Linked DNA regions of Drosophila melanogaster. Changing the gene in region 2 together with the main gene of any one other region gives a genetic interaction. Each region holds a gene or a part of one and is shown on either strand. Other genes may lie near its edges.

Evidence for each region.
Region 1: of wupA (region 2) and SPARC, changing one suppresses a phenotype caused by changing the other (phenotypic suppression), as found in Drosophila melanogaster (one study listed by BioGRID).
Region 3: of wupA (region 2) and SERCA, changing one suppresses a phenotype caused by changing the other (phenotypic suppression), as found in Drosophila melanogaster (one study listed by BioGRID).
Region 4: of wupA (region 2) and Tm2, changing one suppresses a phenotype caused by changing the other (phenotypic suppression), as found in Drosophila melanogaster (one study listed by BioGRID).

The regions. Positions count from the first base shown.
Region 1 is NT_033777.3:26,868,738-26,875,407, forward strand, and holds SPARC (secreted protein, acidic, cysteine-rich), read right to left. Parts: upstream 3,259-6,670; 5' UTR 3,189-3,258; intron 1,831-3,188; exon of another isoform or gene 1,773-1,830; intron 1,636-1,772; 5' UTR 1,618-1,635; coding exon 1,456-1,617; intron 1,394-1,455; coding exon 641-1,393; 3' UTR 501-640; downstream 1-500. Other genes in the region: Rb97D (ribonuclear protein at 97D), read right to left, coding at 5,128-5,279, 5,334-6,053, 6,120-6,364, 6,437-6,666.
Region 2 is NC_004354.4:18,112,818-18,119,187, forward strand, and holds the start of wupA (wings up A), read right to left. Parts: upstream 4,009-6,370; 5' UTR 3,890-4,008; intron 1,918-3,889; exon of another isoform or gene 1,830-1,917; 5' UTR 1,809-1,829; coding exon 1,794-1,808; exon of another isoform or gene 1,789-1,793; intron 1,716-1,788; exon of another isoform or gene 1,627-1,715; intron 1,106-1,626; coding exon 923-1,105; exon of another isoform or gene 913-922; intron 759-912; coding exon 630-758; intron 565-629; coding exon 441-564; intron 1-440. UniProt on the Drosophila melanogaster protein: Troponin I is the ATPase inhibitory subunit of troponin in the thin filament regulatory complex. Involved in the development and maintenance of muscle and nervous system. May also be involved in the cytoskeletal apparatus.
Region 3 is NT_033778.4:23,929,254-23,938,344, reverse strand, and holds the start of SERCA (Sarco/endoplasmic reticulum Ca(2+)-ATPase), read left to right. Parts: upstream 1-2,460; 5' UTR 2,461-2,520; intron 2,521-2,664; exon of another isoform or gene 2,665-2,765; intron 2,766-4,260; exon of another isoform or gene 4,261-4,436; intron 4,437-4,604; exon of another isoform or gene 4,605-4,654; intron 4,655-4,900; exon of another isoform or gene 4,901-5,530; 5' UTR 5,531-5,560; coding exon 5,561-5,678; intron 5,679-5,753; coding exon 5,754-5,771; intron 5,772-5,856; coding exon 5,857-5,939; intron 5,940-6,015; coding exon 6,016-8,187; intron 8,188-8,246; coding exon 8,247-8,362; intron 8,363-8,426; coding exon 8,427-8,663; intron 8,664-8,727; coding exon 8,728-8,845; intron 8,846-8,913; coding exon 8,914-9,091. Other genes in the region: CG3735 (uncharacterized protein), read left to right, coding at 1-877. UniProt on the Drosophila melanogaster protein: This magnesium-dependent enzyme catalyzes the hydrolysis of ATP coupled with the transport of calcium.
Region 4 is NT_033777.3:15,307,281-15,316,084, forward strand, and holds Tm2 (tropomyosin 2), read left to right. Parts: upstream 1-2,964; 5' UTR 2,965-3,019; intron 3,020-3,396; exon of another isoform or gene 3,397-3,793; intron 3,794-4,754; exon of another isoform or gene 4,755-4,914; intron 4,915-5,095; exon of another isoform or gene 5,096-5,119; 5' UTR 5,120-5,172; coding exon 5,173-5,766; intron 5,767-5,828; coding exon 5,829-6,006; intron 6,007-6,310; coding exon 6,311-6,393; 3' UTR 6,394-6,740; intron 6,741-7,247; coding exon of another isoform or gene 7,248-7,330; 3' UTR 7,331-7,917; downstream 7,918-8,804. Other genes in the region: Tm1 (tropomyosin 1), read left to right, coding at 310-395. UniProt on the Drosophila melanogaster protein: Tropomyosin, in association with the troponin complex, plays a central role in the calcium dependent regulation of muscle contraction. May also regulate motor systems required to maintain nuclear integrity and apico-basal polarity during embryogenesis.

The DNA.
Region 1 (6,670 bases), on a different chromosome or scaffold from region 2:
CTAGCATCTCCCCAACACTCACATACATACAAACAAAAAATACAAACACACAAAACGTATTTACCCGCACGCATCCTTGGCGAGGTTGAGTATGAAACAAAAACAAAACTTAATTTAGAGCAAAGTAATTACACGAATAAATTTAATAAAAAAAACTATAATAAAAACGCCAATCATGTTATTTCCAAAAAAAAAAAAAAAAAAAAAAAAAACTAGACGAGATGTTTGCGCTTGTGTCGATGAATGTAAAGAATTGCAACTACATAGATGGTAATTAATTTCAGCTGTAAGAAGTACAAGTTTTTCATAATTGTGAGAAAAGTGCAGTAGTATCGCTTAAAGTTCAGTTTTAATCAGGGCATTTAGCAGCTCGAACCCAATGTATTTGTAAGCCCAATAAACGTGTAAATGCCTAGAGCAAAATATCACAACTGTAGCTTTTCATCCGAAAGATAATAATGAATAGACTGACCTGACGTTTTTCAAAATGCGTATTATTTCAAAGAAGTTGTTATATATTTCATTGAATAGCGAGCATTTACACAATTAACTGCTAAATTAGACATTTTTCGGATTAAGGAAGCAAGTAGTAACTACCTATTGCATACTACAGAAGTGGATATGGAAAATGGGCTGTGTCCTAACCCAGAAGATGGGGCTGAGCCCGCTGGACGTCGTCGCAACGCTCCTTGAGGTCCTCGGGATCCAGCTCCAGGCAGGCGCCCCACTCCACCAGGGTGATGCGATGGTCCTTGTTGGAGTCGCAGGACTCGAGGAAGGGTGCGATGCAGTGCTCGAGACTGACCAGCGGAGCACGGATGGGGAAGAGCTCGTGGCGCGAGACGGAGCGATCGGTATCGCCGTCCAGGTCGCACCACTTCCACACGGCGGCGTTCGACCAGCGACGCGAGTTGTTGGTCTCCGCCTCCAGCTCCATCTGCATGTAGTGCTCGGTCAGCTCGTCGCGCTCGGCCAGGTCGCGCATCACGTTGAACAGCCAGTCGCGCATGCGCCTGGGGAAGTCCTTCAGGTCCTCGCCCTCGCAGCTCCTGGGCTCGTGGCAAGCGCCGTAGTAGTCGATGTGCATGTGCGCGTTGTCCGGATTGGTGCAGCCGGGCTCGCCGCTGTCGCACCAGCAGCGCTGCTGATACACAGAGCAGTCCGACGGCCAGGTCTCGTTGGTATTGGTGCAGACCAGGCGGCGAGTGTCCACCTCCTCCGGGCACTCCGGAATGCACACGCATTTGGGCTTCTCGTCGTGCATCTGGCAGATGCGACCGGCTCCGCAGCTCATCGTTTCGCACAGATCCACCTCGACAACGGGATTGAGTAGATTGTGCTGCACTTCGGCCAGCTTGGTGGCAATCTCATTCTCGCGCTCAATATCCTTGATCTGCGAATGGAATTCAGTTAGTGCATTAAGTGTGATTTGTGGTTTGACTTGCGGCCACATGCCTTGTTCTTCTCCTCCAGCAGGCGCAGGAACTCCTCTTCGTTCTCATCGATGTCGGACAGGTCGAGGTCCTCATCCAGCAGATCTTCGGAAAACTCCGTAGAGGCCTGGACGTGGCTCACAGCCAGCAGGCCCAAGCCGAGCAGCAGCCAAAGGGAGCGCATCTCGAATGGCGATCTCAACTACAGGGATTGCAAGTAAAGCATCTTTAAAACACCTTTTTCTTCTCTTTATATTTAAACTATATATTTGGAACTAAAAGTGCCTTTATAAATAGAGTACATTATCAAGTCATTGCGATTGTGAAAACCCAAATTACATTGAGATTAGCTGTGGCCCTGGCCCAACTTCCGTTTCAAGGATTGGTTTGCGACTGTACCGTGTGCGCTGCGTCGTTACTGTACTCCACTGGCGATCTTGTAACCACCAAACAACGGGGTGGTTTTACATGCACATCTCGTGCGGCGTCTTTTTGCTCATTGAAAACAATTGAAGAAGCCGCAAAAATCTTGCAGGGTTCAAAAGGTCAACGCGAATGTGGCGCGCAGATACAGATGCATTTCCTTTTATGGGCAATTTTATTTATGGATCTTTAGATCTTGTGGAACAACAAAGCCAACTCATTGATGGCGGAAGATGACTACTGCAGATCTGGAGTTTTTAAAATAGAAACAAAGTCGGGGGAATGGATAAAATCTCAGAATTTTCAATGTTTGCTTTTCATTTCCTGCTGCCTGCTGCAAATAAGCATTTTTCTCGCTTTTTGCAACCGCAAATTTGAAATATGTTTGAATATTTCAGAATTTGGGGCATGTTGAACACATGTTGAGCAGTTCAAATCGTTTATGAAATCATCTATATATGCAGATGCTCCCATTAATGCGAATATACCTGATTAAAGCTGACCTTAATCCTATTGCTAAACACACACACAGGCTAAACTCAAGCCGAATTTTCGTAATCATTTCAAGATGTCGCCCCAGTTCTATGCTCAATCTTAGTACATGTGCTATATGGCATATATGGCACATCATTGGTTGCCCAACGACACAGTTGGCTTATCAGGTTCCAGCCCGACTTGGCCCCACCGCCGCTTATCAGGATCGGTCGGTCGCTTCCGTTTTGGGTAGCACAAGCAAGATGTGCTTAATCGTCGCTTTTGTGCCGCTGAACATCAAGTCAAATGCGCAGCTATGTATCTGGCAATTGAGAAATGTATACGCGATCTCGCGGAATGGAGCTTCCAGGAATATCCGAGAGTGGGATGCTGCTGCAGTGCATTCCACATGTTGCACACATATATATCTATGTATACAATGCAATATATACTTCCACATGTGTTTGTTTAATTATGCCGACGAAACTAGAAACAATGACGTGATGCAGTGTCCAAGATGCAATGTTTATGCATCGCGAATGAAAGTGGACCAAAAGCAGATACAATCTACTTGAATTGGCGGAAGTGCAATTCACAGTTGACCTTGCAAATCACTGGACTTACTTTTGCTTCTCAGTTCTGACCAATTAACGAACTGATTTCATCGAAAATAAAGTCCAATTGATTGACTATTTGCCAATGAGCAAGGAACATTGAACTTGAGCAACTCGAGCCAGAGCTGAGCTTGCAGAAATTTGAGGAACAAGCAAAGTATCTGTATCTGCATATGTCACACACTTGTTTTGTTAATCCGATTACGACACTCAATCCTTTGTTTCACTCTGCGTGAGTACTCACTGTGCGTTCAATGAAAAAGTGTTTCCCTTCAAATGTCTAATCGCGTTGGCGGATGGCAGGCGACTGTTTGCCTGTGGAAAAGCTTCGGAATGATTACGGATCGCCAAAGTGGAGCATGGAGCACTGCCTGCCCATGGTTTTGGTGTCGCCTCCAACGTGTTGGCTCCCAACATGTTCGCTTGGAATAAAAACACTGATTGCTTCGATTTTGGCAGCTCTTTTTTATTGGTTTCTTGCTTTTCAACACATAAAATAAATCGTGTCCTCTTCTACGTACCTCATAGTTTATGGGAAACTTGAGCCTTGGTCTTTTGAAATAGGCCACTCCAGCGTTGCTCCGGGGGTTTATTTTTTTTTTGGAAAAGAAATAGGTTGTTTGCTTAGAAAAGCGTAATAAAGATTCGATAACAAGATACACATAAGTTAGAAACTTAAGAGCACTTATAAAAACTCTAGTTTATCCTAGATGAGATCCGTTACTAACTTACCTTACGAATTAACTTTGTCTCAAGAGTATTTTGTAGAGTAGAGTATGTTTAAAATTAGAGCGATATTTGTTTGTATCTAGAATGGCATAACGGTAACTAAATATAGTTTATGCTATCGCTAAAGAGAAAGAGACTTACATATCGTCAGCTAAAACAAATACATAGTGTTGTTTTTAATTTGTATTTATTTAAAATAAATATGCGTATGGGTTTTCATAGAGTTCGGTTAAGTGATAAATTGTATCTCGATAATGCAGCATAACGAATCTTGCAAATTGTGGACTAGACCTCTCTTATTTCAGTACTGCATTATATATAAAGATCAATTCAAAGCCCTTGGCGTGCACAACAGCTTAATAATAGGAGAGAGTCGAGAATAAATCGTAAGTCTAGTTAATCCGAAAGCATATACATTTTCTTCGCATTTTTTTCGGGTATATACACTTCTTTGAGTTCGTCATGATATACAAATAAGAAGAGATATATGTAGTATATGAATTAACATCGTGGGCGACGAGATAAGAAACCTTTAACATTAATACAGTATATAAGTGTCCGATTCTTGCTTCTTGTAAAAATTGACATTTGTTTTGATATCATCTCTTGTGTACATTAATAGTTAAGGCCACGCCCGCCAGCCCTGCGTATGATTTGATTTGATTTGGGATCCGACTTCGCTCCGGATTCTTATATTCTTGTTTCTTGTTTCTTGTGTTTTTTTTGTTTGGACGTATCTTCTTATTTGAATGGTTTAGGTAATACATAGGCATCTACGATTAAACTACTTGTTTTGGGCCAATAAGCTCAGGCTACAGCTCCGTGATTTATGTCTAATTAATTGATCTTGATTGGCAATTGTTCTTCCATCCTCCACCATTGCACAATCCTTCTTCTTGTTTTACAGATAGAGAGAGAGGTTTAGATTTAAATAGAGAGCCTGTTGTAATTTCGTATCGTATTTTGGGCATTCTTCTACGATACAGAGTTTCATAATTATGTCTAGAGTAATTCGAACTGGAGAAGTGCTCGCTCCTCGCAATACGTTGTATAAAATAGTTATATATAGTCTGCCATAGCTTAGGTCAATCGTAGGGTAATCAATGGTATAGCTTAAGTGTACAGTAAAATCGTAGTTAGTTGTCCTATGATAGAGAGACAATGCGTTAAGTTTCCTGCTTAGTAACTCTAAGCGAGTGTGGCCTAGCTTATGAACGAGCTTACTAAAGAGTGTCTTGATTCTTGAGCTTTAGCCGCCCAAAGAGCATCTAAATCAAAGAGAATTTTAGACATTAGTAATTACACATAAACAAGTACTTCAGACGTAGTGCATCAATGGCGAGTAATATATGCGTATATGGATATATTCGTGGCAAGACGTATTTGAGGTAGCTCTTATGCATAGACCACATTCAAAAGAAACGACTAATGGCGGGTACGGCTACTCACCCAATCTAGCGGCGATATTTGCTGTTGGCACTGCCTCCAGTGGCCACGGAGCCATTGGATACGCCAACAGCCTTGGCCCCAGTTGGCGGCGGAACGCTTCCATTAGGCGGCAGTGGTCCAGCGTTGTAGCCCGTATATGCTGGTGGTTGAGGAGTGTCTACAATTAGTAGCTGTTCAAAATTACATGTCTTTAATAATGGATTATACCTACGGTAGCTGTTGGGCGGACCTGCCGAGTAAGGATTCATGCGGTTTGCATTCATATTGTTGTGCTTGGATGGTCCGCCTCCGTAGTTTTGCTGATAGCCAGTGCCGAAATTTGGTTGTGGTGTTGGCTGTTGCGAAGACTGCTGCTGGTGGGATGGAGGAGCTGCACCCGGCACTGGGGGCGGCATGTTCCAGTTACCTGGAGCCGTCGGCGGTGGTCCATTGTGACCCATGGGTGGTGGCACTGCTCCAACCGGCGGCACCTGTTGCACTGGTGGAGGACAACCCCACTGGTTGGCGTGCCACTGCTGGGCACCCGGTGGTGGCGGTGGTGGTGCATTCCAGCCATTTTGTTGCGGCGGCGGATATGGACCCCAGCCGTTCATCTGCTGCGGCGGTGGCTGCTGGTAGTAGGGCGGCATAGCCGGCGGAGGTGGTCCCCAGTAGTTGAAGTTTGGTGGTGGAGCAGACATAGGCGCCGGTGGTGGCTGTTGTTGGTAGGGGCCCATGGCCTGTTGTGGCGGCACTGGTGGTCGAAAGCTAGGTGCCTGCATATTGCCATTAGGTGGCTGCTGTCCGCCACCCTGCTGTTGCTGCTGCTGATTGAGCGACGGCTTGATGGCGTTGGCCAGCCCACCTGGCTGCTGTTTCTCCTTCTTGTCCAGGTTATAAATGGACTTCTTGACGTCCACGTGAACGTACTTAATCGCATGTTGCTTTTTAACTAAACGGGATGAAGGTTCATAATTAATATCAATCTAATATTTAGCATTTTAGCTTTTATGCTTACGGATAGCCTTATCCACTGCATCGTAGTCGTCGAACTCGACGAAGGCGAAGCCGCGACGCTTGCCAGTGGTTTTGTCAGTAAGCAATTTAACGGAGACTACATTCCCGAATTGGAGGAAGTATTCACGAAGGCATTCCTCATCGTGGTTATCCTTAAGACCGCCTACGAACAGCTTCTTCACGGATATATTGGTCTCGCGCGATTCGCGTTCGGGACGGGGCAGAGCACGCTTGGCTTCCACAGTTCTGGAAGCGAAAGGCCTCATGGTATAGATCTATTCTTGGTACGATATGATCCCCCACCAAGTCTATACTCACTTGCCGTCGATGATGTGCGGACGGTTCTCCTGGGCCCTGTCGACCATGAGAGACTTTGTGTAGGTGATGAAGCCGAAGCCGCGAGATCTCTTGGTGGCAGCATCGCGCATCACCACAACATCGACCACCTTGCCCCACTGGCCGTAGAACAACTTCAGGTTCTCCTCGGTGGTGTACGGGGCCAGCCCGCCGATGAAGAGCTTACGCAAGTGCTCCAGCTCGCATATGTCCTAC
Region 2 (6,370 bases):
GGTGCGGCAAAAGAGAGATAGAGATAGAGACACATTTAGATACATGTTGCACACAGTGGTTCAGGCATAATAAGACTATGGTTCCTCTGCGACGTCAATGTGATCCGATGTGGGAGGTCGGTTATCCTGTGTGTGTTTGGTGTGTGTTTTTGGTGTCTTCGTGTTGGTGTGTTATGTAATTGTATGTATGTATGCGATAGATGACACTTGTTCAACTTTCAGTTATCGATTTTGGTTTATGCTTCGCGACAGGCGGGCTTAAACATATTGAATGCATAAGCCGCCTATCTGTTTTACTGATTGATTTCGTTTATTTCGATTATATGGTTTTTCATCCTTTATACTTTCGAACCGTGACCAGGTGCAGGGAAACCTCTAGGGATTTCCACTCGCCTGATCAGGGATCTTAATCATTCGGTTCGAGGACCGAGGCTACTCACCTTCGCTGGCATCGCTGAGATTCCTGGGACTGCCGCAACGTTCTTCGATGATGCGTCTACGTTCAGCCGCTTTGCGTTCCTGTTCTTTCTTCAGCTCCTCAGCGGCTTTCTTACGCAGCAGCAACTGCAAGTGGAGGGCTTTGATTAGCTGGCGATCATACAAAGCGTTGGTATATGCTGGAAACTTACCCTGAGTTTCTTCTTCCTCTCTGGGGTCATGAAACCCTTCTTGGCCTTCTTGGCCTTGGAGGCTTCCTCCATGCGCTTGCGCACCTCAGCACGCTTGCGCTCGATCTCAGCCTGTTTAGCCTTCTTAGCCTGCAAATTAAATGAACGAACAATCCGGGTATCAGCATGGTTTGCTCACATCCAAAACTGGACACAACACTAGATATGATATTCGAACACAGCACTGCACAGCACGAGACTTGGACTTTGACATGGACGTTAAGTTGAACGGGCACACACGTACACAAGTGTACCTCCTCGGCCTTCACTTTGGGGTCGTTGGGATCCTTGGGCGGACCGGCGGGAGCGGCGGCAGCTGCCGGAGCAGCCTTTCCATTGGCCGCCGGAGCAGCCTTGCCATTGGCCGCCGGGGCTGCTGCCGGAGCCGCCGGTTTGGCCGCCGCCGCTGGAGCTGCGGCCGGAGCTGCTGCCTTTTTCTGAAATCAAGTTAAATGATTGCTGGTTAGTTGCAGTTCTAGGAATCGAAAAAGTACGCCAGGCTAGGAGAAAATTGCTTAAACTTCAAAGGAACTATTAACATTTCTCAATCATCCACAATTATTTAAAGTAATCAAATAGGTTTTAAACTCATTTAAATTATATAAGAATGGTCAGCCAAGTTTTATTGGTTGTAATATTTCATTGATTTTAAACTACTTTAAATAGATCTCAAATTTCTCCAGGCACAAACGCGACGATAACAAAAAAAGGGACAAAGCAAGGCACAGAGACATAGACACACACTAACGATAACAGACATGGCTTTCAGTCAGACTTGACAGTTATCATTATCTGTGCTCCTTGATCGAAAGGAAGAAATGGCTGGGATTCAGAGGGTTGCAAAGCGCAGCGATCCTGTGAAAGCAAGAGAAAGGCAAAGAAAGGCTTGGGTTGCATGTTGCGTGGTTGCAAGTGGGGGGCTGTTGAAGCTTCTGGATTGTTCGGGAGCTTTGCTTACCTAAATCCACATCCAGTCAGGTTTAATCCCGTCCAAATCACTTCCAATTTCCAAAACAGTGCTTGCGATTAATGCCCCAAAATAGTTAACTGAAGAAGAGGGTCAAAGGTTAATCAACCGTTTCTCAAAGGCGGTAGAAAGGGGGCCGTTGGAGATACTCACCTCACCTCATCATCAGCCATTTTGATTTGTGTTTTTGGTTACTGAAAGTAAGAGAAATCGAGAGGTGAACTCAAGGAACTGGAACTGGAGGCAAATGGTGAATGGTGAATGGTGAATGGAAATGTTCGATGACATCATTTCCATTGCCCTATATATACACGGCTATATGTAGGTATATACATATAAGTATGTGTTTATATATATATATATATATGTTCCATAAATCAGTCGCTCTCTCTCCCATTCGCACACGCCTACGATCTCACCGGGGTACCACAGTGCGTATGCGCCATATTGCTGGCATATGCCGCATATTACGTATACGCAGCATTGGTTCACGCCGTATATGGGAGGACAACCCCAGCAAACGCTCATTTTCCCGCTCTCTTCGCTTAGCCTTTCTTTCGCACATTTACTTTGGCGTGGGCGTCTAGCTGCCAGAAAAAGACAACTGTATTGCTTTGTGGCTTTTCTAGTTGCTCTCTTTGATATCCGATTTCAAGTGAGCAAAGAGAGAATAGCATTTCCCAACTGACCGATCTCAGCCAGCTGATTTTGTTAATGGAAACTTTCCTACGATATGTTTTCGTTTTAATCAAGCTAAAAGTTAAATCGTTAGTATAGAAGTAACTTTTACATATGCATACTTGATCAGATGATTGATCGTTGTAATGGCATTTTAAAAATACATTTTATGCTGAATAACATATTGGGAATCTTTAAGTAAACATTATGAGATTTCATCATACGAAAAACCATGTCTACATCTTGAGGAATTAATCAGAATTTATTTGCTAGCCTATCCGTATAGTATGTATATGTATACATTTTTACTGAAATGAAGTCGAAGAATTAACACCTCACAAAGTACATATATAACTTTAAAAAGTCTACTAGCGTTGAAAGTAATCGTTAAACAAATTATCTATGCTGTTAGCAATGAACTAAAATAATGTACAATGAGTCAAAAGGAGATCCGTTATAGATTTTATATCCTTTGGAAGAAGTTGTATATTTTGGGGTTTTCACACCTACAAAGCCATATGGCTTAGTAGAACGAATTGCTAGGGAGCTAGGCGTATATTTAGCCCCAGCAATTTGCGCACCTTAGCGAAGGTAAGGCGTGAAAATTTTCTGACAATGACGACCTTCGGCTATGTACACTGCGAGAAATGCACAACGAATTTAAGCATAGTCGATGTCTCCACTCGGCATACATCTGAGAATGAGAGCGAGTGGGATGGCATCTACTGTATCTAGTATCTGACTGATTTAAAAATAAACCTGTTGATAGATACACGAATCTCGGATGCGAGAAATATGGCAGCTATTTATGATTTGCCGTACAATTTGTTTATATGTTCACGGAAAAAAAATAGTCAAATTGGAGCAACGATATTCGTATCGAATATGAAATCCAAAAGTTCGGAGAGCATTTATCCAGTTATTTTACGTAGGCGACGTGTGCGTGTTGTTTCTCTGTGTGTGAGTGTATGATTTTCTGTGTGTGCGTGTGTGTGTGTGATTTTTCTCTCTCTCGGGATCTCTTGTTCTCGCTGTGGTCTATTTTCAGGCACTTTTCGAGCGATTTTAGCTTTTTTGAAATGTATCTTGTATCTGCGGGATACATTTTTAGCTTTCGGCACGCACACACACGCATACACGCACACACACACGGCAACTTCTTACGTAATTGGCAAGCCAATCCGTGAAAAAAAATTCATTGCAAAATCAAGTCAAAATAATGTTGAAAAGTATTTCGATGCAGTTTTAGACACTTGTTAACTTGTATCACTTGAAAAAAAATAGCAAAAAAATTGTTTGAAAAAAAATGTTTGAATCCTCTGGGCACACGCACACGATTTTGGTCAGGTCCAGACATACATATAAATATAAATATATATATATATATGTATAGCATATGAGAAAGGACTGAGGATTTCACATTTGTTTTTCTTTGCATTAGCATTAGCATTTGCATTTTGCATTTTGCAGTTTTCTGTTTTTCCATTCCGCTTGTTCTTGCATTGTTGCTCGTTGTCAATGTTGATGGTGATGTTTTTCTTGGCTTTTTGAATGTTGCTCCGCTTCAAGCACTCACCTTCAAGGAATTAGAAAAAAAAGAAAAAAAATTCGGCTATGCTGTCGATCACACGAATCGGATGATACTGAACGACACAAAAAGACTGAACGGTCCGACGATCCACGGCAGACTATATTCTAGCGGCTAGCCACCCAACGGATACAGATACGGATCGTTGTTGATCGGATCGCATCGTATCGCATCGTCTCGTTCGGCTCGGTTCCGTTATGTTCCGAAAGCCAAACGTTAGCCGCCCACCTGCCCACCGTCCTTCACGAACGGGCGAGAGCGAGAGAGAGCGAGAGTGGCTCGGGGGCCGGGGTTATGTATCTGGGCGTGAGATCCAAAAATAGATCCCACCAAAACTGACATGGCAGAGCACAGCCCATAAGCAAAATCGAAATGGATACCGAAAAGTGTTCGGCTCACGATCGTCGCAGCCGAGTGGCATGCCGAATCGATTCCGAATCCGAATCCGATTGCGATTGCGATTGCGATTGCGATCCCGATCCCGTAACTCCCGCCCCGTCGGAACTGCAGACCCGTAAACCACCCTATGAAAAATACCGCTTGGAGAATCTTTGTATCTCTGTATCCGCATCGGTGTTCACAATATCGTATCTGCAGTTCGATGTGTGTGCTGGTGTAAACGGAGCCGCTTGGAATTCAATGCAATGGATAAAAATAGGTTTTGTTGCTCCAGTTGGGAGGCTATGCGATGGCGGTGCAATCGGTGTGCAATGAAAAAATCAGGGCCGGCGACTGGCTGCAATCTCTGGTTTCGCCAGCCCTGGTTAAAAAACTATAAAATATTATGCTAATTCTGGAAAATCCAGGGAATAAGCTTGTGCTGGGATATGCATATATTGAATATATATTCATTTTCAATGTAATCTACTTCAACAGCAAATACTAATGAAACTAAACATTATCTTAAAATAGGTGCATGCAGCGTTATTTTAAAGATTAGATTTATAACTCCTATCGAACATTTATCCTCATAAACATAACTAATATTTCGATGAGTTGACTGAATACAAATTACTGTTTTCTTTAGAAGACTGCAGTTTTTAAGAAAAATAGGTTAATAACCCTTACATACATATATTGCTGAAAATATATTAGATAAAATTGGGGAATCCCATAGATTCTTAACTTATTTAATTTGAAGATTATTACTATTTAATCCATCCAATATCATTTCCAGGTCTTAAAGTAATTATTCCGTTTGTGTTCATTTAAAAGGTTTTTCTTAGACCGTGCCACTTTGGACTTGATCTAGAAAAACCATTTTAACGATCTGTTTCATGTTGTTCGGCTATTTATCTTGCATGTTGGCCGCTGACATAACTTTAAGCTTTCGAATAATGTGTTCCAAGCGAATCGTACGAACATATAGCCTATATCCGTCTTGTTAATATCAATGTTTTAGCTGAATTACTTTGGCATCGTCAGTCTAAATATAATGTATATACGCAATATGGCCAAATACACACATACACATATATATATATATATATATATGTATATATATATAAATTTCTATATATAATGGTAAACGGTGCGAATGACGCTGCAACACACCTACTGAAAATCACGCATACGCCCCGTAGACGAAACGCCTTGCAACTTTGGTTGAAAGTAATTTTCGAATTTCGCCAAGAACGAAAGACGAATAAAACGTTTCGATCACGAAACCATGTCTATATATATATATATATATCGTATATGAATTTAGATATACATAGACTGTCTATACGTATGTTCCGATTCTATAAACTTTCAGCAGGGAGAGCAACAACAAAATATTGTTGAAAATAATGTTGCTTTTCCCTGCTCATCTCGTTGTTCTTGGCATTTTGTGTTTCTGTTTGTGTTGCTTGTTTTTGATTTTGCCACGGCTTGTTCTAGCTCTATTTCGAAATGTATTTTCGATGATTTCTATTTTGTTTTTCCCCATTTAAATTTAGAATATGGCTTCCAGGGGGGAAATCGAAAAAACGGCGACTGCGGAAGGGCAGTGGGTTAGCTTGGGGCAAAATGTTTTCGTTATTCGTAGGGAACTTGATCAGTTCGTCTATGTCTGGACGAATCTATTTTCGCCTTCATTCTCGTTCCGAGCGTTTTTAAACAATTCCGCTGCGCGCCCAAGCAATTTTTGCCTTAATTTATGAATTTCGAAAATGTTTTTCGTTTGAAAAAACACTTTTAATATTGTGCCTTATTTTTGGGCCTTTGGCAAACAGGAAATATTGAATCGGACGGGGGTGGGCTATAATGCCGACCAGTATTACTAGAAAAGCGGTAATGTCTTACAGCGTCGAAAATGTGTATACATTGGCAATAAGTAAACTTTAATAAAGCAATGTTGCAACATGGGCGGAATATTTGCACGAATCGAGGCCTTAAAGGTGGGCAGTGTGGTGTGCCCAGTGAATCGAGCTTAATTCGGGGTTAAAGGCGAACCATCGATGGTCAGCTGGCTGCGAGTGCGTCAAA
Region 3 (9,091 bases), on a different chromosome or scaffold from region 2:
TTTTGACTTTTTGAACTCCATTGAACTGCTGATAATCGACCAAGCCGAATTGTTCCTGGCGCAGAACTGGGAGAACCTGCTGCACTCCCTGGACCACCTGCACCTGCAGCCGCAGAAGCTGCCCGATACGAATTGCCAGAGGGTACGAACGTGGTGCCTGAGTGGAGCGTCAAGTTTCTACCGCCAAACCCTGTTCTTCTCGTCCCACGAGCTGCCCGAGTTCCGGGCAGTGTTCAACAGCAAGTGCAACAACTACCAGGGAAAGGTGCGAGACTCGAACCTCGTCGAGCACGGAGACATCCGGAACGTTCTGACTCCAATACATCAGGTTTTCCGCCTAATCAATTGCTCCAGTGTGGAGACGACCTTCGACGATCGGTTCCAGTACTTCGTCAAGAATATTATGCCCCAATTCAGTAAGCCCGGTTTCTCGCACTGTATGCTATACGTGCCCAGCTACTTTGACTACGTACGGATACGCAACCATTTCAAGACCGAAATGGTCAGTTTTGTGCAGATAAATGAGTACACCAAGAAAGAAAAGATTTCCCGGGCGAGAGATATATTCTTCCACAGCGGGGCATCTGTTCTGTTGTACTCGGAAAGAGCGCACTTCTTCCGGCGCACGCGGATTAAGGGCATCCGGAACTTGATCATGTACCAGCCGCCCAACTTTCCGCACTTCTATTCCGAGATCATCAATCTGATGCTGAAGACAAATCAAAATCCGCGCGATGGATTTGGGGACGAAATGTCCGTCAGTATCCTGTACACAAAGTACGATCTGCTAAGCTTGAGTAACATTGTGGGCAGTGAGAATGCTGCGAAATTGACTTCTGGTCAAAAGGATTCCTACCTTTTCTCCACCAAAACGTAAATGCTTACACGAGAGCTGACTTTGAAATATGTACATATTTAGTTGTCAATTAGAATATACTAAATGTTAACGCAAGTAAATAGTAATGTATGTGATAACTTTCAGTTGTGGCTCTATTTTTGGACCTAAATACTTTCGTGACGTAGAGATTTTAGGAGGAACTGGCTAGGTGATTGATCTGATGTTAAGGGTGGCGATGTCTTCTCTTTGTTATTACGCAATTTGAAATTATGAAAAAATGAATAATTGGCAAATGGTTGTGTAATAAGAGGCAGCATAAGTAGTGTTTTGCCGATTGATGAAATGATTCAAAATGCATTTGAATTCAATATATTTTGCCTGTTTTTACTTTAATATCCCTTTTTTATAAAGGAAGATTGGCCAGAGCATTATGCAATAAAAGTTATCATTTATAAGGCAATTAAGTGTTAAAAAACATTATTTTGCAGTTTGTATTTGTTTTTAAATGATCACTTCGCTTGATTGCTTGAGATTGCTGGAATCTGGAACCATTACCATATACCGAGTTCCTAAATAGACAATATCCAGCGGTTGACAACCGCATCAAACCCAGATTTGCCAGTCCCAAAATAAATCAAAATTCCTGGCTGCATTGTCATTTATCAACATTTTTAAATATACACATAGGTAGCTTATAAAAGTTCTGGCCTAGACATATAGAGGTAAAATAGTAGCCAAATGCATATTTATGGGGGTCTCTGTGAAAAGTCGTAATAGCTGCTGCACAAGGCGGATGGCTGATGGCGGATATCATACGGCAGAAACGTGTGCGGAGAGCGCTCTTGCCAATATCTGAGAGTCCGAGTCCGTAGGGGCATTACAAGCCTATAAATAAAAATAGTCGACGGCTGCCAGTCTCTGCTGAAATTGGGGAAAAAGGCAGAAAAGCCAAACGAAGAACTAGGGGTTCGCAGGCCGACTGGTGGATGCTCTTTCAGCTGTTAATGGATCGAGATCAACTAGATTGAGGAAATGAGTATTTGGGCTGGGATTTGGGATCTGTTGTATTTGCCAAGGACAAGTAAAATATTCAAAGGGCAGCAGCTATGGATAACTATGATGGATTCTAGCTCGGCGAAAGTGGAATGCGTCAGTGCCAGTGCCATCATTCCCAACCATCCCCCCACCAAAGGACCCAAGTCTTGACCCACTTGAAGTGGCTGACACCGAAGGTAGAAACACCTTTGAGTGACAAACCCTTCCACACAACCCAGCATAATTTCCCCAGATTGGTTTAAAAATACCACTTTCTAAATATTAGACAAACACACGTGCATTTCTCGGAATACGTCTGCACTCACACTCCCAGGCACATCCACATCCACAACCACATCCACGTCCACAAGTGATCTCGCATCGCCACATTGCCATTGCTCTAGACTTTCGTGGCCGTGCGCTCCCGCGGATCCGAGATCGGGCGGCCATATGTACGTATGTATGTATGTGGATGGGGAGCTCGTGTGCCCGTGGTATTGTGGTATTCCCACCTATACCTAGCCACATATACGAATCTCTGGGGGACCACGGTGAATCTGCCTCGTCGAGGTACGAACGAGCTGCACGAGCAGATCTGAACCGCCACCATTCGAATTCGGATCGCATTGGATTGGATTGGATAGGTGGTAAGTGCTCAAAAGTTTGTGCGTGCTAAAAGTATTTTCCCGGGCCAAAATAGAGAGTGTATGTAGTTTTGGGAATTTTGCCAAAATATATGAATTTTGTAATTCAAATAGACACTCTCATCGCGCAGCGTTCTCCTTGCGTTCAGTTGCCGTTGATCGTTATAATAGCGCGATCTTTGTGTCTTGGTCTTCCGACTGAAATAAATTATTATATAATAACGGAATTTTTGCTAGGAATAATAATTGTAAGTTTTGTTGATTTTCTGCAACAACTGCAAAGCGAATACGCCAGTGAATTACTCCAAACTGCCAAAACCATTGGGTAAAGCAAATAAACCCCCCTAAAAACTATCGAAAATTCGTCCGCGCGCTTTCAAAAGAAAAGAAAACCTGGAAACCAAAAGTTATTGAAATGCCTACATATCTACATACGAACATGCTTCTTACACTCGAAAACCGTGCTTCAAACTCAAAGTGTTTGCCCCCAGTTTACTTTGCCACCCTGGAGCTCGTCCAGAGCTCGTAGTTCGATCTATCTACATACATGAAATATCCGTAAGGGCGACGATTCGGCGGTGACCTCGACCTCCGGATGGTATCGAAAATTTGAATGTCACCAATACGAGAGCACTCCACGAATAGATTCGATCCGACACAGATGTAAAGTTTTCCAAGTGCCCGAGATCTATGTATCTGTGATTGAAAATCTGGTTATGCAACCACAACCGCAACCGTGGCGAATATATTCGTACCCAAATTCGAAAGATCCATGTCTTGTACTGTACCTGTAGCCCTTGTAACAAGCATAGAACACACGATCTCTTGAACTCCTTAACTACCCGCATTCATAGCTTAATGGTGGTTACATCGGTTAGTGAATTTGACTGCCTTTCAGTTGCAAAAGATCCCTGAAACCAACAGACAGTTTTACAGAAACGTGTAGCTCTATAAGTACATTCAGCCCAGGATCATGGCCCAATCATTTGTACTTATTTTTGAACCCACCCACCCACTATTATACAACCCATCGGTGGACTTGTCAATCAGAAATTCGGATTCGGGGACGTGGGAAGCAGCATATCGCACAAGTGTCGACATCCATTAGCATGGAGATATCTCTGCTCGCAATATCATAAGCCGTTAAATCGTACATATAACCGCGCAGAATAGGAATCTTTCTCCCTACGATCGTCTCTCTGTATATGTACTCAAACTTATTTATGTGGTCCTAGTACATATCTTTATATCTACGAGTGTTCAGAATTGAGCTGTATTTTTCGGGTGCTAGGACTCTATTTTTAGCCCATCTCGGACAGAGGCGATTTTTTGCTCCATAATGCACACACACATGTGTATTTTAGGGGTATATATAGGCTATATGCATGAAGATGTTTTCGAAACACACGTCTCTGTGCTCAAAATATAAGTAGTATTCGAGCGCATTGATTGACAGTTTTTTGAAAACTAACGCCTTTTGTGGGCGGGCAACTGGTGGAAACCTCGTTATCAGAAGTTACGTATGTAATTCTGTGACGTAGCCAGCGTAATATTCAAGTATTATGCGAGTTGGCTGCCGTTCAAAATTCCCCGTATGGCCTGATTCTAGTGTCTGGTCGCGAAAAAGATTAAAATTAAAATTTAAAAATGTCGCTGCTGGCGAATACCTGGCACCCAGATCTATTTATTGCGGGCTCTTGATCTCGATCTCATTAATTTGAGCACAAAATGCGCGAAAAGAATAGTGTTGCTTGTTGTGTGGCCAAAATAGTGCGGATGTCTCTGTCGCTTGCCAAGTGAAAATATGACAATGTATAAATAAGTTTAAGCATTCGTGATAAGGATTTCAGTTCGATTTACACCACAGAAGGGAGTAAAAACATTTGGTTTTCGATCGCAATAACAACTTGATTTATAAGGTTAGAGGTATTTTCCAATAAAGAAACTTTCCAGCACAGCTGAATTCCTTCGAAACTTTGATTAGTTTTAAATTCCTATATCACCTCAGCTATCGGTATTACTGAACACGGAAACTCAACAGTTAGCCATCGCAGTTGAGATTCTCAGTTATCGATAACGCCGGCTATCGCAGTTTAGTAGCACAAATTGAACGCGTCAGTAGAAGCTGAGCTAAAAGGTGGGATAATTATCTAATAATTGCCAGGACTGAGAATTCTTAAAAGTTGGAGAAAGAGGCAGCTCTGCACAAATAACGTAACTCGGACGATATACGTTTTCAGTCAGCCCTGTCTTGTGCGAATAATGTCGTGTCATAGTGAGGCAGAACGGCGATAGGCAGTAAATCGCGGCTTGGTACTTAGTGCAATAGTTATCAGCACACATATTCAGAAAAAAGCGCCATGGGTTATATTATATAGAGAGTCAGTGGAAAAAAGTACTTAACACACGCAGTGCGTCGTTTAGCGAGGTTAACGTAGGAGCAGAGCACCCGTATTACGGACCAGATCCCCCAATCCCCCGCAGAAACTGAGAATAGAAAAACGAAAACTGCGTCTGTTGTGCGAAGTGACACGTGTGTGAATCTCATAAGCGGAGCGATTTGGCCAGGGTAACAGCCCATCATAGTAATGCAATATTCCAGCATATTCTCCGACCCGATCCGCACAATCCGATCCTAAGTTGGCGCGATAACTGCGCGACTTTAGTGGCCAGTCCGGGCCCGATCAGAAGTGCCTGAAATCGGGGAATTAGCATGTAGCACCTGTGTATGTGCGTATGTTGGAAAGTACCCGTGAGCCGAGTGCCGTGCACATGCACATGTACGACCACTTATTCAGAACCTAATGAGGTAGTTTTAACTGCAAACGTACATGCCAGTACAGATGTATGTGCATACATACGTGCATACACACTTGCTATTCCAGTCAGTCGTTGAATAGAGCCCAGAAAACGGCAAAATAGCTAAATAGCCCTGCCAGAGAATTAAAATGAGCCCCTTGCCTTGTGTCTACTTTCAAATCCCCACCTGAATCGCCCCGGAATCTGGACACAGGCCACTGAACGAAGAGGATAACGAATCAAGATGGAAGACGGTCACTCGAAAACCGTCGAACAGTCCCTCAACTTCTTCGGAACGGACCCCGAGCGCGGCTTAACCCTCGACCAGATCAAGGCTAACCAGAAGAAATACGGACCCAATGGTGAGAGTCGCGCGTAATTCCCCTCCACATTCCGAGACCGAATCGACTGACGTGTTTGTTTTCTTATCGTTACAGAGTTGCCGACTGAGGAAGGTGCGAACACAACCCGAGCAGATCCCCTGCCCCCCACCCCCACTTCACTGTATGCATACATTATAATAACGATTGTATTCCACAGGAAAGAGCATCTGGCAGCTGGTCTTGGAGCAGTTCGACGATCTGCTGGTGAAGATTCTGCTGTTGGCAGCCATCATCTCATTTGTAAGTGCAGCAGCACAAAGAAACCCACCCTCAAAAACTTAGTTACGACCACACTCTTCCCCTCTGCAATCCCCAGGTTCTCGCCCTGTTTGAGGAACACGAGGAAACGTTCACTGCATTTGTAGAGCCCCTAGTTATTTTACTTATCCTGATAGCCAACGCCGTGGTGGGAGTATGGCAGGAGCGTAACGCCGAGTCGGCCATTGAGGCCCTCAAGGAGTACGAGCCTGAGATGGGCAAGGTGGTGCGCCAGGACAAGTCCGGCATCCAGAAGGTGCGCGCGAAAGAGATCGTGCCCGGTGACCTGGTTGAGGTGTCTGTCGGTGACAAGATCCCTGCCGATATCCGTATCACCCACATCTACTCGACCACCCTTAGGATCGATCAGTCCATCCTCACCGGTGAGTCGGTCTCCGTCATCAAGCACACCGATGCCATCCCCGATCCCCGCGCCGTCAACCAGGACAAGAAGAACATCCTGTTCTCCGGCACCAACGTCGCAGCCGGCAAGGCCCGTGGCGTCGTCATCGGCACTGGCCTGAGCACCGCCATCGGCAAGATCCGTACTGAGATGTCCGAGACCGAGGAGATCAAGACCCCCCTGCAGCAGAAACTGGACGAGTTCGGTGAGCAGCTGTCCAAGGTCATTTCCGTCATTTGCGTTGCCGTGTGGGCCATCAACATCGGCCACTTCAACGACCCCGCTCACGGAGGCTCCTGGATCAAGGGTGCCATCTACTACTTCAAGATCGCCGTCGCTCTGGCTGTGGCTGCCATCCCCGAGGGTCTGCCCGCCGTCATCACCACCTGTCTGGCTCTGGGCACCCGCCGCATGGCCAAGAAGAATGCCATCGTCCGCTCCCTGCCCTCCGTGGAGACCCTGGGCTGCACATCTGTCATCTGCTCTGATAAGACCGGCACACTCACCACCAACCAAATGTCCGTTTCCCGCATGTTCATCTTCGACAAGGTTGAAGGCAACGACAGCAGCTTCCTCGAATTCGAGATGACCGGCTCCACCTACGAGCCCATCGGCGAGGTCTTCCTCAACGGTCAGCGCATCAAGGCTGCTGACTACGATACCCTGCAGGAACTGTCCACCATCTGCATCATGTGCAACGACTCCGCCATTGATTACAATGAGTTCAAGCAGGCCTTCGAGAAGGTCGGCGAAGCCACTGAGACCGCCCTGATTGTGCTGGCTGAGAAACTGAACAGCTTCAGCGTGAACAAGTCTGGCCTGGACCGCCGCTCGGCTGCCATCGCCTGCCGCGGTGAGATCGAAACCAAGTGGAAGAAGGAATTCACCCTGGAGTTCTCTCGCGATCGTAAATCCATGTCCTCGTACTGCACCCCCCTGAAGGCTTCCCGCCTGGGCACTGGCCCCAAGTTGTTCGTGAAGGGCGCCCCCGAGGGTGTTCTAGAGCGTTGCACACACGCCCGCGTTGGCACCACCAAGGTTCCTCTGACCTCGGCCCTGAAGGCCAAGATCCTCGCCCTGACCGGCCAGTACGGTACTGGACGCGACACCCTTCGCTGCCTGGCTCTGGCCGTTGCCGATAGCCCCATGAAGCCCGACGAGATGGATCTGGGCGACTCCACCAAGTTCTACCAGTATGAGGTTAACCTGACCTTCGTCGGTGTTGTGGGCATGTTGGATCCCCCCCGTAAGGAAGTTTTCGATTCCATTGTCCGCTGCCGTGCCGCCGGTATTCGTGTTATTGTGATCACCGGCGACAACAAGGCCACTGCCGAGGCTATCTGCCGCAGAATCGGTGTATTCGCCGAGGATGAGGACACCACTGGCAAGTCCTACTCGGGTCGTGAATTCGACGACCTTTCCCCCACCGAACAAAAGGCTGCCGTCGCCCGCTCCCGCCTCTTCTCCCGCGTGGAGCCCCAGCACAAGTCCAAGATTGTTGAGTTCCTGCAGAGCATGAACGAAATCTCCGCTATGACTGGTGATGGTGTGAACGACGCCCCCGCCCTGAAGAAGGCTGAGATCGGTATTGCCATGGGCTCTGGTACCGCCGTCGCCAAGTCTGCCGCCGAAATGGTGCTGGCTGACGACAACTTCTCCTCCATCGTGTCTGCCGTTGAAGAAGGTCGCGCTATCTACAACAACATGAAACAGTTCATCCGCTACCTCATCTCTTCGAACATTGGTGAGGTCGTCTCCATCTTCCTTACTGCTGCCCTTGGCCTGCCCGAGGCTCTGATTCCCGTCCAGCTGCTCTGGGTTAACTTGGTACGTCTTGATGGGGTATTTACTACTTAAAATGGTTAGTAATAGGTACTTGGTCACAGGTTACTGATGGTCTCCCAGCCACCGCTCTGGGCTTCAACCCCCCTGATCTGGATATCATGGAGAAGCCCCCCAGGAAGGCCGATGAGGGTCTCATTTCCGGATGGTTGTTCTTCCGGTGGGTTACTCAAAAAGCACACATCCTTTAATCGGTATTAACTTGGCCTCAATCGAACTTTTAGTTACATGGCTATTGGATTCTATGTCGGCGCTGCCACCGTCGGTGCCGCCGCCTGGTGGTTCGTGTTCTCTGATGAGGGACCCAAACTGTCCTACTGGCAGCTGACCCACCATCTGTCCTGCTTGGGCGGTGGCGACGAGTTCAAGGGCGTTGACTGCAAGATCTTCAGCGACCCCCATGCGATGACCATGGCTCTGTCCGTGCTGGTGACAATCGAAATGTTGAACGCAATGAACAGGTGAGTGAGATAACGAATGATGGACGGCACGATAGATACGAACCGATCGCCTTTGTTTAAACAGCTTGTCCGAGAACCAGTCGCTGATTACCATGCCCCCATGGTGCAACCTGTGGCTGATTGGATCAATGGCACTCTCCTTCACTCTTCACTTTGTTATTCTTTACGTCGATGTCCTCTCCGTAAGTATTTGGCAATGATAAGCCCTTCTGCGCCGCGGAAACTAATGCCAGTATCGTTTTACCCACAGACCGTCTTCCAAGTGACACCGTTGTCTGCAGAAGAATGGATAACTGTGATGAAATTCTCAATTCCTGTAGTTTTATTAGATGAGACATTGAAGTTTGTTGCTAGAAAAATCGCAGATGGTGAGAGTCCTATATATAAGATGCATGGGATTGTGTTAATGTGGGCTGTCTTCTTTGGCC
Region 4 (8,804 bases), on a different chromosome or scaffold from region 2:
GTTAGCCAAAGCATTATAAAAACGAAATGCTGCTTTTATTTTCTGTTCTTGCAAACTTTTTGATTTCCTTTAACCACACAGCTAGCACAACTTTGCGAACTCAACTGCTGGCTATTATTTATTTATTTTATCCGAAACCGAGGTAACTATCATTGGTTATTTTTTAAGTTATAAGTTTTTTGTGTAAAGGTCTCAGTTTGTGTCAGGTTTTAAGTGTAATTTTAATGATTTTCAATGAATTTATTTTTATTAATTTTCGTTCCTTACTCTTGCGTTCTTTTATGATTTCCCAAACAACAACTTGAACAGACGACCTCGTCCTGGAGAAGGAGCGCTACAAGGACATCGGAGACGATCTCGACACCGCCTTCGTCGAGCTCATCCTCAAGGAATAAGCGACAACCCGACCTTGACGGACCCTCGCACCCAGACCAAAATCGATCCGCACAGCTATATTTTTGGGCGGCACACCTTTCGATTGTTTGTTACTGTAGTCGCATAATCGTAGGCCCACTGTACTTGTATCTAGTAGCCTGCACTTTTGATTTGTGTGTTCGTAGATGGATAGTTTGTAGATTGATTTTGATCGCGGACCAATTAGAGGGAAGCATCGATGTAATTGTGTATTTGTTTGACTCAAACGTTTTTTATTTATTATTTGTATCCAAACTAAGCAATAAAGCAATCAACTTAAAAACATAAATCCCTATAAACTTGTCACATTTATTTTGTTTATTCCACCTGCTGCAGACGAGGTGAGCAAAGGTAAGGAAAAGTACAAAACCATCGCCCAGGAACTGGAGTACGCCGATCTCAACAACTACTAAGGGAATGAAATCCACTTCATGGGGAGATGAGCAGCAATCACTATGATGAAGACAAATGGAGTCCGAACGCATTCGACGTCCGAATTACAAATTATTTTTAGCATAACACTTCTTCGCCTAAGCATTCCCAAAAAAAAAACAACTTTCTTACATAAGAGCAAGAGTTTTACAATAAAGTAAAAAATACATTTTTAGCAATTACTATTGAAATTTATATGGAGCCTAAAGTTAAAACGAGTTGTGTAACGAAAAGAAACGCTGCCATTTTCCTTGAAACTAAAATTCCAGCTCGAAAAAGTATGTGTAATATTTTGAATACAAAACCCCAGAAAGCCCACCACTCAATATCGTTAATCAGCATCTTCAAATAAAAAACTCAGTTACGCTTAAGCCAGAGTCAATTTTTCTCAACTTTCTGTTGCTTGTGTGTTTTTATGGCAGTTCGCGAAGTGTATCTACAAAATTTCTATGGCCTTTGTATATGTTTAAACAACAAGAATAGGAGATATATTATTAGAATATATAAACGAAGACATATAAATTAAATTTACACATTTGTCATAGCTTTTGTAATTCTATGAAGCGTGCAAAACAAATATAACAATGTATGTATTTTTCTTTTTCAACTCAATATTTTTACGATCAATAAACTGAAATCATTCTTTTGCATATAAAAAATTTCATGGATTTTTTATTTAAACGGTGGGTTGCATTAGTTAAATAATAAAAATATGCACTGATCATGAATCGAATATAAAGGACATAAAGTGTCCTGTTGGTTTCAATCTGCCGGAATATTGTGTATCCTTATTAAAAGTTAATATTGAAATCAAAATCAAATCATGCTTATATCCCAAAACTTATAGGATGTTTTTATTTGTGTTGGAATAACCATATTTGTCACATGTGTGATATTTTAACTCAACATTAAATATTCTTTGGAGCTACATATATAAAAAAAGTTTAAAATAAGCTTAAAGAAGAAGGGTTTTGAAAAATCGAATTTGAAAACTGAATACGTTTGCTCGCCAATTAGTTGTTTTTGAACAGTTTTGAAAATATGAAGTTTCAAACATTTTCCTAAATCAAGAAGAGCTATAAATCAACTAAAATTTGAAGTTATAAAAGTCTATAAATAAAGTGCACAATATTATTGACTTATGTAGGTTTGGCTTTTAAGTAAAATTTATTGCTGAACGAGAATAAAAAGATCGGGAGTACATATAAGTGTAATCCAGAGACTATGAGACATTTGGTGGAATCTTCTTGATATATAATAGTATTAAAGAAGATGTTACGTCACAGAAATATTGAAAGAAGAAGAAAATTGAACTGGATTTTGAGATGAATTGCTAAATGGATTTAGCGAGGTCGGACATATAAATAAAACCCACCATATATATTTATCTTTTAAATATACCTATATAAAAATATACATATATCTATAGAATTTCTTAGTTTAGAGTTTTGATAACAATTTTTCCATATCGTTACTTAATTGGTTATTAAAATAAATAAATTATAGATTTTATTCTTCAGTTATATAGTAAGTTAAGTGGTTTTGTTTTAGCAAAAAATCGAACGGGGACAATTAACACACAAGAAAATCGGATCAATTGCCTTGCATTCGAGACTTTCGAAAGCAAAAGAACGGCAGGAAAACGCTGGCCGATCAAAATTCCAAATATTTCTCAATATTTTTTTACCGAGCGAAAATAGATTTTCATCTTGTTGGACTTTTGCTCTTGCTGCTTGTGGCTATTTTTGGCCGTGTATCTGACGGATACACGCACACACACAGACAGCGAGAGTGCTGTGAGTAAAATATAAATTGAATTTAGATTTAAGAAGCAGAAAGAAAAGCGCATAAATTTCACGAGAATGCAGCCCAAAAGAGAGAGCATCGTATGAAGCAGCTTTTGGGGGAAATTTCGAGGGAAATTTTCGAGATCGCCGAGCAAAGTTGCGAAAGCGCCATTCCACATATACATTTATTAATGGGAAATTTTTGAGGCGAGAAATTATTCAATACCGCGTTGGTGTGTGCCCTCAGTGTGTGTGAGTTTTTCCGATTTTCCGAGTGGCAGTGTGCGTGTGCGTTGGATCTTGGGGTCGCTTTCTGGGCTAAGCAACTTGGTCAGCATCAGTGTTCTCGGGGTTTCGACAGCGTATAGTGTGTTTGAAACGCTAAGGTTGGTCACGCCAGGATTTTCACCCGACAAGAATTAACTCAAAATAAATATAATTAAATCGCTCGCCTTTGCTGCTAACCAAATTGGTATTTTCAACTGGATTTCGAGTGGATAACAAAATTGTGATAAGTGCATGGCATTCAAAATTATAAATTTTGAATTTTCCCCAAACGGGAAAAAAAAGGAAAACCTTGTTAAACTTAAATAAAATGTGCATATGTATATGTGTCAATTAGCCTGGATATAAAGTTCTACAAAAAGTTAAATGAGTGATCCAAATGTAATGGAAGTGAAAATTGCTATAACTAAAAAAATGAATATCTCTAAAAAACTTAAAATGAACGATCTAAACTACTTGAAAATGGAGATCTTATGATCATTTTTCGGATATTTTCAAAATTCGCTTATAAGGAATTTTGTAACTAAATCTGACGGCACCAATACCATCCAATAAATATCTGTGTGTGTGTGAGAGAATTTTTTTTTGCACACACACACATGAGCTTCATTCGGAAAGCTCTACACGAATGGGACACATATACATATGCACCTTACACACTTATGGCACGCACAATTTTCACACACACAATCACACTCGACCGATAAAGTTTTCCTCGAAGAAAATTCTTTAAAATTAACTGCAGACAGACACCTGCCTGTCACACACACACAGACATACGCATTTATTTTTAACTCTGCCTGAAATTTATACGAAAAAGCTTTTCCGTCTAGCTTTCTGTGATCTCAGAAAACGAAGGCAGTCGAGAACTATAGGTATTTATCCTTGAGATTGTTTTCGAGAGAGATATTTTGGAAAATATTAGAGACGTAGACGATTCCCAGATGCGGATACATATGGTATCTATCTGGGAATATATATATTCAAGGCATAGCCACCCACACAGAATTGTAGATTTCAGAGCGAATATTTCTAGCCATTCGTGAATGCGTCCGAAGGCCGCAAAATTTGCCATCTTTAAGATACATATTCGAACTGATTGAAAGCCCAAGTACCTTTGGCAATCACCAAAAATTTTAATGATGTGAAAACTAAGTAGCTATTTAACATATTATAAGTTATTTAAAGTCTTTAGAAAGAAATCCTTTTTACCTCATAAATCACATATTAAACATTGCTTATGTTTTTTTGGGTACAAAACACACATGAGTATCGCAAGACCTCCAAAAGATCAGCAACTACAACATAAATGACTTTGCCCCACTTTGGGTGGTAGCAACATAGATACACGAATTCGAATACGAATACGCCCACACACCAAATGACCCCAAAGAATTGAATACTTTTCAAATTGCAATCGGTGGCGAGCTATGTACATATATATGTGGGGTATTTCGAAATAATAGGGGGAAACTCTAGAATTACATTTAGCACACAATGTCCAAAAAAGCATTTCTCCTATGCGTGTGTGTGCGAGTGGACTGGATATTTTTTTCTCACATGCAAAAGCATATAAAGTTTATTTTTAACCCCACCGAATCGTGCAGCAAATAAACATATAAACATATAGCTCACCGACGGATCCGGATTCGGATTTTGAGTGGGCGTTTTGAAAATGGAAAATGAAAATTACGTGAGATCTTTTGAGAATGCTCGGCGTAGCCGCCAAACAAAATGTGTTTACATTTAATTCTCAAATTTATTGCACGAACACATATGCACAGCATATAGATATATACAATTTAATTATACCTATGGATAACCTATAGAATGCGCCTGGATCGTTTAAATAAACCGATTTTGTCTTGCAGCGGAAACATAAAAATTCTAGAAGTCACAGTAAAGAAACAAAAATGTATAGTCAAAAGAAAAATCCAAGTTCAAAAAATCTGTAATTTATGAAAGGAAATAAACATTGGAATATCTTAGGACCAACGTATATATGTTATAATATATTATTAAGCGGTTCAAAGCTACAATTAGATTTAAATAAAAAAGTCATACATTTTATTAATTATATAATATTATTATTATTATATTATAGTATATATAATATTCTATGCCTTATGAAAATTGCTCCTTAAAAATTGCACATTAAGGATTCAGTTATTCAGCTTACTCATTTGTATTATTTGGCACAGTGCTTTTTTCCAGTTTTCTTCCCTTGTAAGTCAAAAACAAAAACACAAACACCATGGACGCCATCAAGAAGAAGATGCAAGCGATGAAGCTTGAGAAGGATAACGCCATTGACAAGGCCGACACCTGCGAGAACCAAGCCAAGGATGCCAACTCCCGCGCCGACAAACTGAACGAGGAGGTGCGCGATCTGGAGAAGAAGTTCGTCCAGGTGGAGATCGATCTGGTTACCGCCAAGGAGCAGCTGGAGAAGGCCAACACCGAGCTGGAGGAGAAGGAGAAACTCCTGACCGCCACCGAGTCCGAGGTGGCCACCCAGAACCGCAAGGTGCAACAGATTGAGGAGGATCTGGAGAAGTCCGAGGAGCGCTCGACCACCGCCCAACAGAAGCTGCTGGAGGCCACCCAGTCGGCCGATGAGAACAACCGCATGTGCAAGGTGCTGGAGAACCGTTCCCAGCAGGATGAGGAGCGCATGGACCAGCTGACCAACCAGTTGAAGGAGGCCCGCATGCTGGCTGAGGATGCCGATACCAAGTCCGACGAGGTCTCCCGCAAGCTGGCCTTCGTTGAAGACGAGCTGGAGGTGGCTGAGGATCGTGTCCGCTCCGGCGAGTCCAAGATCATGGAGCTGGAGGAGGAGCTGAAGGTGGGTCCTCAAGAGAAATCCTTCTGTTCTCAAACCACTATTCATGGTGTATTCCCAACTAGGTTGTCGGCAACTCCCTGAAGTCCCTGGAGGTGTCCGAGGAGAAGGCCAACCAGCGCGTGGAGGAGTTCAAGCGCGAGATGAAGACCCTGTCCATCAAGTTGAAGGAGGCCGAGCAGCGCGCCGAGCACGCCGAGAAGCAAGTGAAGCGCCTGCAGAAGGAGGTCGACAGGCTAGAGGGTATGTATCCAACTTCCTACGCCCCTGGCACATTCACTCAGCCATTTTCCGCGGAGGTATCTCTCCACGGGACACCGGAGATGCTGTCCACCGGAAGTGATCCGCCTCGAACGGCCGGATCGCTGGCTTCAACTAATGCTCGCATTGTATTTATCGCCATAAGGATATTAATAATTGTACTTAGTACTCTGCTTTCATTAATTGACGTTCCACATTCACACATCTCGCTCGCTCGCCCTTTTTTTTGAATATCTCTCTATATATATATTTGTATAAATGAACAACAAACAAATGCTTTTTGCAGACCGTCTCTTCAATGAGAAGGAAAAATACAAAGCAATCTGCGACGATTTGGACCAGACATTTGCCGAACTTACTGGATATTAAAAAAGATCACAAACAGAACTCACACAATGCCCTTGCCTCCCCCCCCCCCCAACCGCCCCTTGCCCAACTCCCCCAAAAAAAGGAACACTCTCAGTACATCCCGAATCCCACACAGTTTATTATATATATATATATATATTCTATATTATATTTTTGGAACGATTCCCCCAACAGTTTCAGTGTATTTACCACCCAGCCCAACACGCCACACTTATCTATACACTGTAAATAATCTGTTTAGTCCCGCTTGAATGTGGCCACACCCACACGACCAGTTCCCTACGCCAGTACACTGTAAAAATAAGTTCAGATCAAGCCAAACCAAGTTGCAACTGTAGTTAATACAGGTGAATTTATCAATGTAAATATTGTTGTTTGTATGCCAGATTCTTACCCGTTGTGATGTGGCATGACCTCTTGACCCGTCTCGCCTTCGCACTCTATCTCAGTCTATGTCTCTATGTCTCTCTCTCTCTCTCTCTCTCTATCGTCTCGTCGATCATCAGTGGCTTTCGTTCGAGCCAATTTCGCCCAGGCCTTGGTCGAGGGATTCTCTCAAGGATTGCTGCAACGATTGGTTGGATAGATCATGTCCACATCCCGTAGAGCACCCCATAGATAGTCCTGTCCCCCACCTCCCCTGAAAACCCACGCACAGAACCGCTGACTAACCCAAAAGATCAAAAGATAGAAACGCCTGCCAGAACAGCGCGCCACTAATCCTAATCAATAACTCCATAAACTTGGTACACATGGTGTAAAGTTTGAGTGTTTTTCGTTTCAATTCCAATGTTAAAAAACCATATTTTTGAATATTTTCTAACGCATTTCCAACCACCATTTGCACTCCGCAGACGAGTTGGGCATCAACAAGGACAGGTACAAGTCCCTGGCCGACGAGATGGACTCCACATTCGCCGAATTGGCTGGCTACTAAGTTGGCCAACAGTCCCATTATACCAAATCCACACCAGCAGCGGAGGAAGATGGAGACGACGACGAGATGGAGAACTCTACTAATTGTAAACGAATATCTCAAATTGATTTGGCCAACACGAAGATCGGCGGCCGCAGATACCAAGAACAACAACCATTGTGTATGCAATTCTTTATAAATCTATATATTTCATAATAAATAAATAACAACAACAAACAGATCAACAACAGCAACAAAGCCAACGAGCATAGAAAGCAAATGGAAATTCTTTTGTTTTATAAAAAATAAAATTATCTAAAGTCAAAAGTAGCAGAATGTATAAAGTAAACAAAACGAAAACAAGAACACGAATTTTGTATTTTTAAAATCAATGTTTAAAAATATTAAGAAGCGCTTGCAGTCAGGCAATAAGAGCGAGAGAGCTAGAGAGAGTGCCCAGGAAAGAGACGGGGCTAAATTTAAAATTTTAAGATCGCGCTGCCTGCTTTACTTTCAGTTTATATCTTACAATTACACCACAAACAAACAAAAAAACACCCACAAAAAAAGTATAAAAAAATTTATAAAAACTTTGCTAAAAAAAAATTATATGTTTGATGTTTGCTTTCAATGATGCACAAAACCGAATTTCTTTGCCCTTCAGCGAATCGCGCTGAAGTTCACTACATTTTTGGCGGATATGCAAAGTAGTCTTCAGTTTTTTCCACCGATTTCTCATACTCTTGGGAAACCCCATGGATGCTGGGCCGAAATAACCAAGTCCGAAGTGCGTCACCACTTCATCGGAGATGGATCACGATCCGCAAATCGAGGCCTTCATTGCAACATCTTTAGCATCCGCGCTAATTGTCAAAGCAATGAATAATGAAAGTTCAGTTATCTGTATATATATGGCATATATACACATCCTCAGGGTGATTTCCAGATATGAATTGTAGATGTGGGCAGCTCGCCGTTTTGACCATCAATAAGTGAGTTAAGGCCGCGTTCGACATGTGGGTCTGTTGCTCTCTTGGCCAAATGGACTTTCTTGTAAACTGAACTCGAATTGAATTTCCATTTCTCCTCGCTCTTCTCGCGACGTTGGCCATAAAATAGTTATTAAATCGTTAAGTGGTGTGTTAAATTACCCACTTAAAGCGCCAGTCATTATTTACATAATTTACATTATGGTATATGGAAGCTGGCAGATATGTTCATCTTATGAAAAAAAAAGAAAGAGTCATTTCGAGTTTAAAAAAAAAAACTTTTGTTTTTAGCTTTTAAAAAGAAATATATAGAGAACGGTTGATATTTTAAAAGCTGTTATCTTTAAGATAGAAGTTGAAATATGAATGATTATTCCATGTTTATATTGCCCGGGGAGGAACTAGAAAATCGCCTAAGTTACTTTCTTAGTTAACCGCATTCAGAAAGTCATTCCTCACAAGTCGAAGAACACCCAAATGAACATGGCACATCCAGCACACCAAAC